Linked DNA regions of Oryctolagus cuniculus. The protein of the gene in region 3 interacts with the protein of the main gene of each other region in a pairwise test. Links are inferred from orthologs where the notes say so. Each region holds a gene or a part of one and is shown on either strand. Other genes may lie near its edges. The genes, in order: IL16, PKP2, DMRTB1 and QKI.

Evidence for each region.
Region 1: the proteins of DMRTB1 (region 3) and IL16 interact in a two-hybrid assay, tested with the Homo sapiens proteins (2 studies listed by BioGRID). The two-hybrid records come from large-scale screens. The link is inferred for Oryctolagus cuniculus from reciprocal best matches to the Homo sapiens genes DMRTB1 and IL16.
Region 2: the proteins of DMRTB1 (region 3) and PKP2 interact in a two-hybrid assay, tested with the Homo sapiens proteins (2 studies listed by BioGRID). The link is inferred for Oryctolagus cuniculus from reciprocal best matches to the Homo sapiens genes DMRTB1 and PKP2.
Region 4: the proteins of DMRTB1 (region 3) and QKI interact in a two-hybrid assay, tested with the Homo sapiens proteins (2 studies listed by BioGRID). The link is inferred for Oryctolagus cuniculus from reciprocal best matches to the Homo sapiens genes DMRTB1 and QKI.

The regions. Positions count from the first base shown.
Region 1 is NC_091443.1:104,003,338-104,007,401, reverse strand, and holds the start of IL16 (pro-interleukin-16), read left to right. Parts: upstream 1-1,203; 5' UTR 1,204-1,584; coding exon 1,585-1,624; intron 1,625-4,064. UniProt on the Homo sapiens protein: Interleukin-16 stimulates a migratory response in CD4+ lymphocytes, monocytes, and eosinophils. Primes CD4+ T-cells for IL-2 and IL-15 responsiveness. Also induces T-lymphocyte expression of interleukin 2 receptor. Ligand for CD4.
Region 2 is NC_091440.1:128,925,725-128,929,288, reverse strand, and holds part of PKP2 (plakophilin-2), read left to right. Parts: intron 1-1,539; coding exon 1,540-1,652; intron 1,653-2,736; coding exon 2,737-3,359; intron 3,360-3,564. UniProt on the Homo sapiens protein: A component of desmosome cell-cell junctions which are required for positive regulation of cellular adhesion.
Region 3 is NC_091438.1:119,536,272-119,539,782, forward strand, and holds part of DMRTB1 (doublesex- and mab-3-related transcription factor B1), read right to left. Parts: intron 3,006-3,511; coding exon 2,809-3,005; intron 1-2,808.
Region 4 is NC_091436.1:5,210,437-5,214,000, forward strand, and holds part of QKI (KH domain-containing RNA-binding protein QKI), read right to left. Parts: intron 3,153-3,564; coding exon 3,009-3,152; intron 1-3,008. UniProt on the Homo sapiens protein: RNA reader protein, which recognizes and binds specific RNAs, thereby regulating RNA metabolic processes, such as pre-mRNA splicing, circular RNA (circRNA) formation, mRNA export, mRNA stability and/or translation.

The DNA.
Region 1 (4,064 bases), on a different chromosome or scaffold from region 3:
GATAAAAACAAAAAAACCAGCTGCTCCACTGAACCAATCCAGTTTTCTCTCTGCTGGTGCACCATGCTGTACACCTGTTTTGTAAGCTGTTCTATTCATCTACAAGAGAACACAGGCAGCTTCCTGCGACAGTTAGTCTTCCTCTATGATTTTGTCTCAGTTTCTGCCACTCATGGCCTGTTCCTCCAGCTTATTTCCTAGTGTTGCTGCAGCTGGGGGTGACCGAATCCCAGGGCAGAGTCTGGTTCTTGTGCTCAGGGCACAGCCATGGCACCTGCTGTCGCATAGCCTGGGCTGGCACCAGGAAGCCCTCGCTCGGCACCCATCGCTGCCCTGGAGTGAGGGCCACTCTCGGGGAGTGTTCCAGCACCCTCATTACTTACCGCAGGTCTATTTGGGGACAGGGACAGTCACTGTGTGGCCCTGAGTGACAGAGTGACATCAGTCAGACAAGTTTCCACCCAAGAAGACCTGGGGCTCTTGGCAGGGACAGATGACCCAGGAACAAAGTCAGGGTTGCTGTCACTGGCTTCCCTAGTGAGTTTTTTTTTTCCTTTCTGTCTCCGCCCAAAGAGAGGCTCTCTCTTTCAGCCAATGTCCCACCACCATGTCCAGAAAGCCCCAGCACCCTTGTCACAGCACGGCTGTCACTCTTGCCTGGGTTCCAGCTCTGCCTGCCCACTCCTTCAGGCTTCTCCCGGTCTTTTCAGATTTATTGAACCCAGCAGCCCAATCGACCGTTTCAAATACTAGTGCTTCTTGTCCAAAAATAAAGTTTGCTGGAAGCAGAGGGCAGGCAGGGGGAAAGTGGGCAAAGCATGTCACAGCAGCGTCCGTCCGTCCATCCGTCCCCTCTCCTGGCCTCCCCTGCGCGCCCTGGCGAGGGGGTGGGGGCCCAGGCGCCTTCTGTGTGTCTGGCCCAAAGTCAGCCTCCACCTCCCACTGCCCTTCTCGGGACACAGGCTGCATTCACCAGCCGTCGCCCCGTCCACGCCCCAGGAAGATTTTATGAAAAGCGTGTTCACTCGGACTCCACAGGGGCTGTGTTTGTGTGTGGTGTGTGCGAGGGAGAGGATGAATCACTTCGATTCTGGGCAAGCAGCGGAGGTGTTGTGTTTGTCCCCTGCCATCGCAGAAACACCCCAGGATGCAGTTAAAAAAAAAAAAAAGGCAACACGTAGGGGTGGGGGGTGCCGAGACGGAGGGCTTGGCAGGGGTGGGACCAGGGAGTGGAAGGATGTCCACACAGAGCTCCGCGTCCCAGGGAAAGTCTGAGGTTTTGCATTTCTGTTTGTGGTGCAGGGAAGGGCTTGAGCCAGTGAAATAGCATCGCCTTTATACATATTGGCTTCCCAAGACGGGCAGGAGCTGGAAGCGGCCGTTGTGAAACGTTAAAGATTTTCTGGCAGAGAGAGAGGATTTTTTTTTTCTCCCTCTCTCCCTGCTGGGGAAAAACAGTTCTAACGAGGAGTTACTTTGTAGTTTTAAGTCATATTCAAATCCACCCCGTGCTAGGGGCTGCTGGGGATCCCCCCACGGCAGCTGGATCCTGGAGTGCGGGGACTGGACCGTGCCCGGCTGGGCATGAGTCTGCAGCGGAGGGTCTTCCCGAGAAGGGAGAACGGTAAGAACCGGGCGGGGAGGGGGCCCGGGGAGGTGGGACGCGGGGGTGGTGGTGGGGGCTCGCCTTGCCTCTCTGACCTCCTAACACAGGGGCGGGAGCCTGGCTTGCGGTGACCCCGTGGCGGGTGAGTGTGTGTGCGCACGTGTGAGTACGCGTGTGCACACGTGTGAGCCTGGGCGTGCACACGTGGGCGGTGCAGCAGGACCCGGCGGGCGGTGCGCGGAGGGCTGAGGAGCGCTCACCGCACAGGGTGGGGGGCAGTGGGGCCAAGGATCGGCACGGAGATGGGACAGCTTTCTAAGTGCCCTCACGTCCTCTTTGAGGGTGGCTGGCCACGCCCAGGGCCAGGGGAGACTCTTAATGATAGAGTTCTTGGGGTCCCCACCGGCTGAGCTCCGGTCAGTTGGAGGGGGGCTGTTCGGCTCCTGGAGGGGACAGAGTCGCGGAGCAGAGCTGGTGGTGGTGGGGGGAGCCCCTGGCTTCCAGCAGGTACGGACTGATAGATGAGGTCATTTCTCAGAACAGCCCCCTCCCACCGCCGCCACCACCACCAGCAGTCTTTCATTTTCGCTGGGAAACGTAAGCAGACATCAGGGCGAAGGATTTTAACCCTTTGGCGCAAGCTTTCAAGTCCACCCTGGCAAGACTTCAGTGCTGCTGTAACTTTGGCAATCGGGAATAAACACATGGTTTTCTTTAACAAGGAGAGAGAGGCAGAGTCAAAGGCACAGCCTGGCTTTCCAATCCAGGCAGATGCGGCGGGGGGCCACGGCGATCTGGGCCAGTGTCCAGCGGAGCCCCCCTGCGAACTGGGACGGGAGGCCGGCGAGGGGAGGGGGTGGCGCAGGGGACCCGGCTCTGGGACCCGCTGGCCGCTTCCTCTCGGGAGAGGAATTCAACCTCTCTGCGGCCACCATACATTCCCACCTGCCGGGAAGTCAGGAGCTGAAGGAACTGGTTTTTAGTTTTATTTATTTGAAAGGTAGAGGGATAGAAAGAGAGAGAGAGAGAGAAGAGAGAGGAGAGAGAGAGAGAATCTTTCACCCACTGGTTCACTCCCCAAGTGCCATCAACAGCCAAAGCCGGGAGCCAGGGACTCCATCTGGATCTCCCACGTGGGCAGCAGGAACCCAAATGCTTCAGCCCTTGCCTGCTGCCTCCCAGGGTGTGCATCAGCAGGGAGCTGGATCGGAAGCAGAGCCGATGACGTGGGAGGCGGGCGTCCCACGCGGCAGCTTAGCCCCTGCAGCACAGTGCTGTGAGCTCTCTTTCATGCCCAGGGAGGCCCTACAGGCCCTGAGCAGGTTTCCCAGATAGCAGGCAGGTGTGTGCATGGGGATTTCCCCGGAGGGTGCCAGCAAGGGGAGGGAGGCAGCACTGGACACGGGCAGTGGATCCAGCCAGCCCACGGGGCTCTGTGCCCCTGTGCCCGGGGGCTGGGGCTGAGGACGGTTCCTGGAGAGGTACTTGGTTTGGAGCTGTCCAGGGAGCCCTGGTGTCAGCTGTGGGAACCAGTGCCTTACCTAGTGCCTAGTGAGGTGGGCTCCCCTGGGCGCCCCCCTTCCAAATCCCACTCAATGCATTTCATCAGTGGGGTGGTGTGTTAGGTCACTGGCATTCCCCATGGACCCTGATTCGAGTCCCAGCTGCTCCGCTTTCTGATCTAATGCACCTGAGAAGGCAGCAGATGATGGCCCAAGTCCTTGGGCCCCTGGACCTGCGTGGGAGCCCTGGATGGAGTATTGAACTCCTGGCTTCAGTGTGGTCCAGCCCCTGGGTTGTGGCCATTTGGGTTGTGAACCACTTGATAGGCAACCTCTCTCTCTTCTCTTTTTCTCTCTCCCTCCTTTCCACCCTTTCTCTGTAACTGCCTTTCAAATAAATAAGTAAATATTGAAAAAAATGAATTTCACTGAATGCCTTCTTCTCTCTGAGTTCAGCTGTCAGGAGATCGGGCGTTAAATGTTTGGATAGACACCCGTCTGGTTAAACTGTTAGGCAGTTCCATGACCTTGGATATGCCGCCTCCCTAGGACTCAGCGTGCCCATCTGTAAAGTGGGTGGAAGCAGGGTGAACTGGAGATGCCTCCCGAACCCCTCCCGCTCTGCCATCGCACATGTGCAGGTTCTGAGCACTTGACCCTGGGACTGGGCGCGCCCCCCCAAAGGTCACAGGGCCACCAGTGCCACGGTTCCTGCCTCTGGGGGACCTTGTGACAGGGGCCAGCTGTCAGCAGGGAGGGGCTGGGCCTGTGGGAAGCAGAGGGAGGCCGTGCCTGGGGCTGGGCAGTGGGGAGGGGACTTTGAGGAGTGGGCTGATGCTCGCCGCTCCTCTACCCTGACATTCCTCTCCTGGCAAAGGTGACCCCCCACCCCCGAGACACCGCCATGTGTCTCTGATCCTTCAGACCCGTACGATGCCGTAGGATGCCGCTCAGGG
Region 2 (3,564 bases), on a different chromosome or scaffold from region 3:
TAGGAAGCTGGAATCAAACCCACACCTTCCAGGGCAGGGCATGGGCATCGTAACTGTCAGGCTAGCAGGAAGCTGGAATCAAACCCGCACCTTCCAGGGTAGGGCATGGGCATCGTAACTGTCAGGCTAGCAGGAAGCTGGAATCAAACCCACACGCTCCAGGGTAGGGCATGGGCATCGTAACTGTCAGGCTAGCAGGAAGCTGGAATCAAACCCACACGCTCCAGGGTAGGGCATGGGCATCGTAACTGTCAGGCTAGCAGGAAGCTGGAATCAAACCCGCACCTTCCAGGGTAGGGCATGGGCATCGTAACTGTCGGGCTAGCAGGAAGCTGGAATCAAACCCACACGCTCCAGGGTAGGGCATGGGCATCGTAACTGTCAGGCTAGCAGGAAGCTGGAATCAAACCCGCACCTTCCAGGGTAGGGCATGGGCATCGTAACTGTTAGGCTAGTAGGAAGCTGGAATCAAACCCGCACCTTCCAGGGTAGGGCATGGGCATCGTAACTGTCAGGCTAGCAGGAAGCTGGAATCAAACCCACACGCTCCAGGGTAGGGCATGGGCATCGTAACTGTTAGGCTAGCAGGAAGCTGGAATCAAACCCGCACCTTCCAGGGTAGGGCATGGGCATTGTAACTGTCGGGCTAGCAGGAAGCTGGAATCAAACCCACACCTTCCAGGGTAGGGCATGGGCATCGTAACTGTTAGGCTGAATACCTACTCTTGGTGTTGGAAGTCTTAGTTTTGATTAGTCTTGGGGTGCGGGTGGGGGAATGAGGCAGTAAGATTACCAAACACGAGGAAAAAGGTGGGAGGATAAAGGAGGTAGAAGGGGGGACACAGTGCCTTGCCCCCAGATGCCCAAAGAGGAGCATTTTAACGGCTCTGAGAGTCGTGCCGGTTGAGAATCCCTCTAAGGCCCCACAGAGCCGGTCAGCAGGTTGCCTCCTCCTCGCTGTTCTCGTGAGACCACCCAACCACAGAGAAGCAGTGATTCCACAGCAGCCGGCACTTGTAGGTCCAGGCGGCGTTTTTCTAATGCTCGTGTGTATTGCCAAATACCGCAGCCTGGCGCGAAGCTGATCCGTGTTTTCTTCGACCACACTGACCCACCTTGTTTATACAAGCGCTCTTATCTAGCACTGTGAGGCACAGTTATTTTTATTGCCTACACCTACTTGGTACAAGAAGCTTCTGATTTCCGGGGCTGGGAACAGTTCTCTGGCTTGAGAAACTCAGTGTCCTGACCCCTAAACCAAATTCTTCAACGCTGTAACAACCAAACAGGTTTGAATTTTTGTCAGTCCTCTCTCCCTTTCTCTTCGTTCTCTATTTTTTAAATCAACTTTCATTTTGAAAATGTTGCAGAGAATGTTTTGATAACTTTTTTGACCATTTGCCACATCCGAGGGTGGTGGTAAGAGCATTTAAAAACACTAATAAACACTTCTTTCCTAGTAGCCTTAATTGCTTAAATTTAATAATCCAGTCTACAGTTGTTATGCAGTGAGTTATTTCAGTGTTTGTTTCATTGTAGGAAATCTGCACCGAACCAGCAGTGTTCCCGAGTATGTCTACAACCTGCACTTGGTGGAAAATGATTTTGTTGGTGGACGGTCCCCTGTTACCAAGACCTACGACATGCTCAAGGTAGGAGACCCCACAAGGCAGGCTTTGTTATCAGATTGCCAGGAAAATGTTTTCAAGGAACTGTGTTGTGGTATAATGTGTTAAGCTTCTGTCTATAATGCCAGAATGCCTTATGGGCACCAGTTCCAGTCCTGGCTGCTCCACTTGGGATGCAGCTGTCTGCTAATGCCCCTGGGAAAGCAGTGGAGGGTGGCCCACGTGCCTGGGGCCCTGTCACCCACACGGGAGGTTACACTGGAGTTCCTGGCTTTCATCTGGCCCAGACCTGGCCTTTGCTGCCATTTTGGGAGTAAACCAGTGAGTCAGTGGATGGAAGATCCATCCCTCTCTCCTTTCCTCTTTGCTTGGACCCTTGTGGGAGACACACAAGAAGCTCCTGGCTCTTGGCTTTGGGCAGGTTCAGCCGCAGCCATTGTTGCCATTTTGGAGAATAAACCAGTAGATGGGAGCTCCCCCCACCCTCTCTCACTGTGCCTTTCAAATAAATAAAAATATTTAAGAGAAAACATTTTTTCAAACTTCGCTAGATTTTTTTAAAATGTTTCCCGTTCTTACATATTACCATTTCCTAAACGACTGTTGGGAACACTAATTTTGTGTGGACACCTTGGAAAAGTGAGGACTTTAAAGCGCTATTTATGGATTCTACTTGAAAGGCAGAGAGAGGGAGAATCTTTCATCTACTAGTTTTTCCCCCAAATGCGGGCAACAGCCAGGGTTGTGCCAGGCCAGGCCGGAGCCAGGACCCTGGACTCCATCTGGGTCTCGCTCGTGGGCAGCAGGGGCCGAGCACTTGAGAAATGACGCTGCAAACCAGGAAGCTGGCTCGCTCGTGGAGCCAGGAACCGCGTGGGCTGCGGGTGGCCCGAGCTCCCAGAAACGTCGTTAGGTCCTAATCCAGAAGTAGCGCGCAGGTTAGCCCAGGCGGGTTTGCGCAGGTTAGCCCAGGCGGGTTTCAGAGAAGGCTTTCCCCACCAAAGGGTGGGGGTTCTTAGGATCCAGGGGAAAGGCTTGGGGGGTGGTGGGGGGTAGCAGTGCGGGCGCTGCGCGGCGCGACACCTGCTCCTGTCCCGTTTCTCCCCAGGCCGGCACCACCGCCACGTTCGAGAGCCGCTGGCGCAGAGGGACGGCGCAGTACAGCTCGCAGAAGTCGGTGGAGGAGCGCTCGCTGAGGCAGCCCCTGAGGAGGCTGGAGGTGTCCCCCGACAGCAGCCCCGAGCGCCTGTACTACGCGCCCAGCGACTCCCAGCCCGGCGTGCGCGGCCGGCCCGGCCCGGCCCCGTGGCCCCCGGAGAGCGTGCGCTCCGTGCCGCAGGGCGCGCCCCGCTACGCGCGCTCCGAGATCGTGGGCCTGAGCCACGCGGGCGGCCGGCGGCGCCATTACGACACCTACCACAGACAGTACCAGTACGCGGCGCTGGACGGCGCGGCCCCCGGCCCGGCCCTGCTCACCTACCCGCGGCCCGCGACCAGTCACAGCATGGGCAACCTGCTGGAGAAGGAGAACTACCTGAGCTGGGCGCCGCGGCCCGTGCCGCTCGTGCAGCAGAGCAGGGCGGCCAGGGCCTCCTGGCACCAGAGCTCCTTCCAGAGCGCGCGCACGCTGAGGGAGGCCGGGCCCAGCGCCGCCCTGGACACCAGCGGCCGCAGGGTGCACCTGACGGCCGGCCAGGTGGCGGCCGGCGCCTTCCCCGACGGGCAGCTCGGGTGAGTCCCACGGAAACGCGCCGGGGCGGGAGGAGGGTTTTCAGACAGCTCCCTCACGGGTAGATGGGCCCGTGCGCGCCCAGGTGTGCGCCCCGCGGCCACAGGTGGTGGCTGTGTGGGGCCAGGGCGTGCTGTCCCCCCGTCCGCCGTTCTGTGCGCAGTGCTGACCGCCCGTGTCCTACCCCCGGGCTCCGGAGGTCCACGC
Region 3 (3,511 bases):
CTATAAGATACTGTCAAGTTCAAGTTGTTAAAGCGTTCTTAGGGACAGCAGTGAAGATGCTGCTTGGGATGCCTGTGTCACATAACTGGAGGGCCTGTCCCGAGCGAGTCTGCTCCCCATTCTAGCTGCCTGCCCAGAGCACCGGGGGTGGGGTGGGAGGGGCAGCACATGATGGAGGACTTGCACCTGCACCACCCACTCAGAGACCCAGGCTGAGTCTCAGGCTCCTGCCTTGACTGGACCCAGCCCTGGCCGCTGTGGGCATTTGAGGAGTGACCCAGTGGATAGGAGATCTGTCTCTATTTCTCTCTCTCTCTGTCTTTGAAAAGTATTTTTTAAAAAGTGAAAATAAATTAGAGGATTCCTTGTTTTAAAAAACCATTCTCAGAGCAGTGCTATGGCGTAATGGGTAAAGCCACCACCTGCAGTACAGGCATTCCATTTAGGTGCCAGTTCAAATCCCAGCTACTCCATTTCCTGTCTGGCATTCTGCTATGGCCTGGGAAAGCAGTAGAAGATGGCCCAAGCCCTTGGGCCCCACACCCACATGGGAGACCTGGAAGAAGCTCCTATTGGCTTCAGATCAGTCCAGCTCCAGCTGTTGCAGCCATCTGGAGAGTGAACCAGCAGATGGAAGACCTCTCTCTCTGCCTTTCAAATAAATAAATAAATCTTAAAAAAAAAAAGTTCTCAGACAAGTGAGTCTGAAGAACTCCCACACTGTTTGCCACACTTGAGGGTCTCACAGGAGCCTATTAAAGGCTCTGAGGTTTGCAAACATCTCCTTCGATTACGCCAATGCTTCCTGATTTTGACCACAGGGAAGCACCGAAAGTCCACTCTTAAACACCTACTGCGTGCCAGACCCTGCATTAGGCGTCTTCAGGTGTCACACCTTGGTTAATCAGTATCACAGAGAGACGGGTGCTCCCACCCATCCCACAGAGGGCAGGGAGCATCCCCAGGTCCCAGGGCTGGTGGACAGGGAGGGGGGACTGACCCTGGGGCTGTCCAGCTCCAGGGCTGTGCTCTGCTGTGGAGAGGAGCCCAGAGGGAGCGCAGCGATACGCAGGGCAGGGATGGGCCCAGGGACAGGGACGGGGCGGAGGCAAGGACAGGACAGGATGAGAGGAACTCCTGGGCTCTCGGGTTTGAAACAGCCTCGCGAATAAAGGCCTGATCCTCTCTCCAGACGTGAGGGGGAGGGAGGGTGGATCATTAGAGCTTTAATTCCAAGCTGCTCAGCCAAGTCTACCCCTCCCCGGATCACAGCTCCTGTCTGGGCCTGTGGCAGCAGCTCGGGGCCAGATAACCAGCTGGGATCACACTCGGAACGAGGGCGTCTGGCAGGCCTGTCAATCACAGCCCGCCCTGGACTCCAGGCCTGGGCTTCTGTGGGAGCAGCTGGTGCGGGCCCCACTTGGCCTGAGCCCTCTCTGTGTGGAGGCCAGAGACCCCTTGCTTTCCCTGGCCTGCAATGGGGCGGCTGAAGGAGTGCCCACAGGTTTCAGTGGTGCTGAGGATGCAGGGCCACGCTTGCCCACCTCTGCGTGAGACATGTTTGGGGCAGAAGAGAGCCCAGTGCCAGAGTCAGGGTGACCAGGGACGCATCCTGGCTCGTCACCAGCCAGCCGTGTCGTGTGAATCCCAGTCCCTCACCCCCCAGTTCCACGACCTTGGACAGAAACTTAACTTGTCCGAACCTTTTCTGGCAACTCTGCCATGGGGTGCCGACACCCACCTTGAAGGCTCGTAAAAGGGCCGGCCGGCGCCCAGGGAATGATCAAGACCAGCGGTTGTCAAACGTTTTCCCCTCGAATCAATGGGAAACGAGTGCTAAGTCAAACTCCAGGATACCGGAAGCAGCCAGAGGAGACGCTGGGGTGGAGCTGGAGCGAGCGCACTGCCCTGGGAGCCTGGAGGGTGGGCAAGGCGGCGACCCCAGGGACCCCTCCAAGCTCTGTGGCAGTGACTTCCTTCCTCAAATGCCAAGCTTGCCTCTCCTGAATCCTGCTCCTCACTCCTCTCCCCCTCCCCTGCAGGGGCAGTGTCAGTGGTCCCTGTTCCCACCAACCGCTCTGTCCCACAGGCCCAGGAAGCCACAGTCAGTCCTGGCCTCTGGGCATGCTGCAGCCCTGCAGGTCCTCTGAGATGGCCGAATCGGAGTGGCCTGGAAACCACCCTGGCCTGGGAGCAGCCGGCACCCGAGGCCGCGGAACCTGGCCATTCCTGCCGCGTGCTCCACACAGCAGGGCTGAGCCCCTTCTCACACGCGTGCGGTTCGGAAGCCCAGGCTCCAAGAGAGCACCTGGTACCCGCGTCCGTCCCCCTGGTAAGAGGACTGTATCTCACTCCTATCTGCAGGAGGAAGGTTTTCAGAATTTTCAGCTCAAATGCCACCTCTTCCTGAATGTCCTCCGAGGTTTCAGCTGGGCTCTCTCCCTGTGTTCAGAGGACCTATGTCTGGTCCTGGCTCTGCCTTAAACCTTGTAGTCCCAGGGAAGTGACGTCTGTCCCTGGTGCCCAGCAAAGTGAAGAGCTTTTCCACCCTCAGTGCTCAACCAGGCAGGGCTTGTGGTCACCCAAGTGCCCAGAGCAAGCACCTGCCACAGCCCGGGCCAAGTGGCCTGGAAGTGTCCACACATGCGCTCTCAGAGACACCCACTGCACTCACATGCTCAGGGCTGTGTCCCTCCTGCTGGTACGGGAGCTCGGCACGAGTGGCCGCCCCGGTGATGACTTAGGATCTATAAGGGCAAGGGCAGCTGGGGTAGGAGGCCCTGGAAGGCAGCCAGGAACAGGACTCACCAAGCTGCCTCCGTGATACTGGGTGCAGGAGATGTGCCGGAAGCCGGTCTGCAGCGGGATCCCAGGGGGCGGGGCCACATCCTGGTAGCCCAGCGGGAACGGGCAGTAGGCATGCATGCTCGGGTACAGCTTGGAAGGCTCTCGCTCCAGGTACTCGGCCCCCATGGCACGATCCAAGCTGAAGTTCACAGGGAGCCCTGAAGAAGGCGGGCAGCAAGGCAGGTGTTAGAAACGCAGAGCTGGGCTCGGCCCATCACGCTGCTGCCCCGGGGCAGCCATACAGCCATGCTCGGATCCACTTACAGGGCTCCGGCACCCATCGGGCTTTTGACCTCCCCACTTTGGGCCCCTTCAGCTCCACCCAGGGGCTCTTAGAAGACGCTTCAGCACAGCCATGGAACCCCCAAGGCTGGCGCCGGCCACCAACTACAGCCTCATCACGTCCCCAGGCAGAGCGGCCACAATGAGGCCCTGGCAGACGCTGCCCCCTCAGCTCCACTCCCACTCTGCCTGCAGAGGTGTTCGGCCCAGGCTGTCCCTGACGGGCGAGGGGCCCACTGAGGATTCTTCAACCTTCTGAGGGTGGGAAAGTAATGTGCACTTGGTAGAAACCGCCTGTCAGGGCTGAGCTTTCCCAGGCGAGCTGAGCCCTGCCGGAGCACCGGCTCAGCGCCACGATGCCGAGGGAAACACCCGGCGCGTC
Region 4 (3,564 bases), on a different chromosome or scaffold from region 3:
TTATACATAAGTCTAAAGCAAACATGTTTCTCCTAAGACGACAATGGGGTTAACTTTTACAAAGACAGTAATTATCAATTATGGAGAGGTTTTGTTTTGTTTAAATTTCTGCTTAACCCTGGTATCACCAAATATTTAATAATGTTCACCTTAATTAAAACAAATTCTCTAATACAGTATTCATGTCATAATAAACATATTCAATAAAATAAATAAGAAATTACTGCAAGTGTTAAATCACTGGATAGAAGCCAAACCAAAAAGTCTGTACTTTTTATCCTATGATTTATAATTCTAAGAAAGTTTTATTACCTCACTGTAAGTAATTTCAAAAAGCACAATTTAAAATTGTTACAATCTGTTCAATAACAATACTAAATTCTTCTATAGAAGATAAATAGGTTTATCATCAAAAGTGAAATTTTCTCCTTCAGGACATAAATTAAGCTTTTTAAAGTTTCTGTCATTCTTTTTATGAACTACCCTACCACCTTTTCATATTCAAAGACAAACCACTTTTAAAACAAAAAGTTCTGGGGCCAGCCCTGTGACGCAGCTGGTTAACACCCTGGCCTGTAGCGCCAGCATCCCATATGGGAGCTGGTTTGAGACCCAGCTGCTCCACTTCTGACCCAGCTCTCTGCTATGGCCTGGGAAAGCAGCAGAAGATGGTCCAAGTCTTTGGGCTCCTGCACCCGTGTAAGAGGCTCAGAAGCAGCTCCTGATTCCTAGCTTCAGATCGGCACAGCTCCGGCCAGTGCGGCCAATTGGAAAGTGAACCATTGGGTGGAAGATATCTCTCTCTCTCTCTCTCTCTCCGTAACTCTGACTTTCGAATAAATAAATCTTTAAAATAAATAAATGTAAAACAAAAAGTTCTTTGGAGATTGATTGCTATGACTCTCACTTTATAAACACATAAACAGATACAAATAAGTTGGAAATTTCTCCTACTTACACATCCAGGTGGAACTAATAGCCCAATATGCTTACAAAAATTTTTTTATATAGCTTACTGAATACAACACATTTATTAAAGAAAAGTTATACAATTACATGGTATAATAGTGGGCAAACAGAAATTCTAATTTATGCTCAACCTACTTATTTGTATTCCTTATAAGGTCAACAGAACTTAAATGAAATTTTTCCTTCCAAGGAATTAATTTTGTAAAGTTAATGGAAAGTGTATATAATTGGTGAGTTTACTTTTAGAAGACACTAGCAGGGTAATAAAGATTAGACTATCTGGAAAATAAAAACAGCAGATGCCATATTCATTTATGTCAATGTTAATACATTTTTGGTGGGCAAAGTACTAACAGTGTTATTAGTTTTTCAATGGCAATTAGGGTCTATCCTTCCATGTATTCTTACTATTGTAAAACAAAATTTAATAGTGACTCAGAAAACCAGTAATTTTCACTTCCTGTTGAAAAAGATAATAGTCTAGTAATAGTTGTAATCGCCATTTTAAAAATTACTAAAGGGTTACCTATTAATGAGAAGCACACCCAAAGGGAGAAGAGTAAAGAAAATGGAATGGAGGGAAAGAAGAGAACACAAAATTGTGTCTGAGTAATTTCTTACGAGATGTCACCCTCAAAAAGCATTCAATATCCTATTTACGACCTCTAAATATGAAATACAATAGTTTTATGATCATAGAAATAATAGTAAAGTTAAAAAGCTGCTCTGAATCATGCTTTACATTAGTAAAAGCTATCGTTTAAGTTTATTAAGATGACTTTTTATTACATTAAGGGAAAGTTTCAATTAATGTTCACTAATCTTTCTATAAGAGATAATGAGATGCTACCCCGAGTACCTGTCACTCATAGACAATTCAAATTACATGCTCCTACTAACACATCCCACCTACCTTGCATAAAAGTTAGTGGTAGAGACATCTACAAACTTACTACTTGTTCACAATAAGAAACAGCTTTTGAAAAAGAACAGCTTTCATTACCTTGCTGATGCTGTGCCTACATTCTCCTCGTAAATATAGTGATTCAAAAGACAGCATTTTTGAGAAGTCATATTGTGTCTGCTACTTCCTGCATAACTTCTTTACAAAAATTTATGGGAAAATGGGGGCCAGCGCTGTGGCACAGTGGGTTAACGCCCTGGCCTGAAGCACCAGCATCCCACATGGGCGCCGGGTCGAGACCTGGCTACTCCAATTCCAATCCAGCTCTCTGCTGTGGTCTGGGAAAGCAGTAGAAGATGGCCCAAGTCCTTGGGCCCCTGCACCCAGGTGGGAGACCCGGAAGAAGCTCCTGGCTCCTGACTTCAGATTGGCGCAGCTCTGGCCATTGCGGCCAACTGGGGAGTGAACCAGCAGATGGAAGACCTCTCTCTCTCTCCTCTCTCTGTGTAACTCTGCCTTTCAAATAAATAAATAAATCTTAAATACATATATATATGTGTGTGTGTGTGTGTGTGTGTGTGTGTGTATATATATATATATATACACACATGAAAAGGCTTTCCCAGTTAAGAATGTCAGCAATGTCTATGGTTTGCCCATTAGACTAGCACTAAATGAGCTATAAATTATTTTTATATTTTGTGGTTAAATGATAACCTATTCAGGGCCGGCGCCGTGGCTCACTAGGTTAATCCTCCGCCTGCAGCACGGGCATTCCATATGGGCACCAAGTTCTAGTCCCGATTGCTCCTCTTCCAGGCCAGCTCTCTGCTGTGGCCTGGGAGGGCAGTGGAGGATGGCCCAAGTACTTGGGCCCCTGCACCCGCATGGGAGACCAGGAAGAAGCACCTGGCTCCTGGCTTCAGATTGGCACAGTGCTGGCCGTAGCGGCCATTTAGGGGGTGAACCAACGGAAGGAAGATCTTTCTCTTTGTCTCTCTCTCTGTCTATAACTCTACCTGTCAAATAAATTTTTAAAAAATGATAACCTATTCTCCATTAGACTAAACAGCCATTAATTTAAAAAACCCTGAGAAGTGAGACCGAAATTTAAGATTTGGAAATAACTACTTACTGCAGGTACCAATAATTTCTTCACTTCCTCGACTGCTCTCTTCAGCTTGATTTCTGCTCTGTTCTGAGCATCTTCCACAGTGATTAGAACATGTAAGTCTTCATTTAGATGCTCCCAATTGGGTTTGCCTCTATTTTGCTCCTCCTAAAAAAATTACAAAATACAGTGTTATAAATTTTTCTCTTTAAAGAAACTATAACTGCATTATGTTGCCATGGTAACATTACAAACCTTATGAATTATTTCCCTCCCCCCACCACACACACACACACACACAGCTTGGGAATAAGACTACTAGGTTAAATGACAGATCCTATAATGAACACTTGTTGAACACCTACTCTGTATAGGAATGGAGCCAGATGCTAAGGATACAATAGTTGCATATGAAATCCCACCCTTTATAGAGCTTCTAAGTACAAACAAACTTTATATAAGGTATCACTAAATTATCAGGAGAAACAGTTTGAGAAGCAGGTTATTATTTCCAATTTCCTTAGGCGTAAACAGAATGTTGTCAAGGATAAGAAAGACAATTGCAAAAGAAGTGCTATTA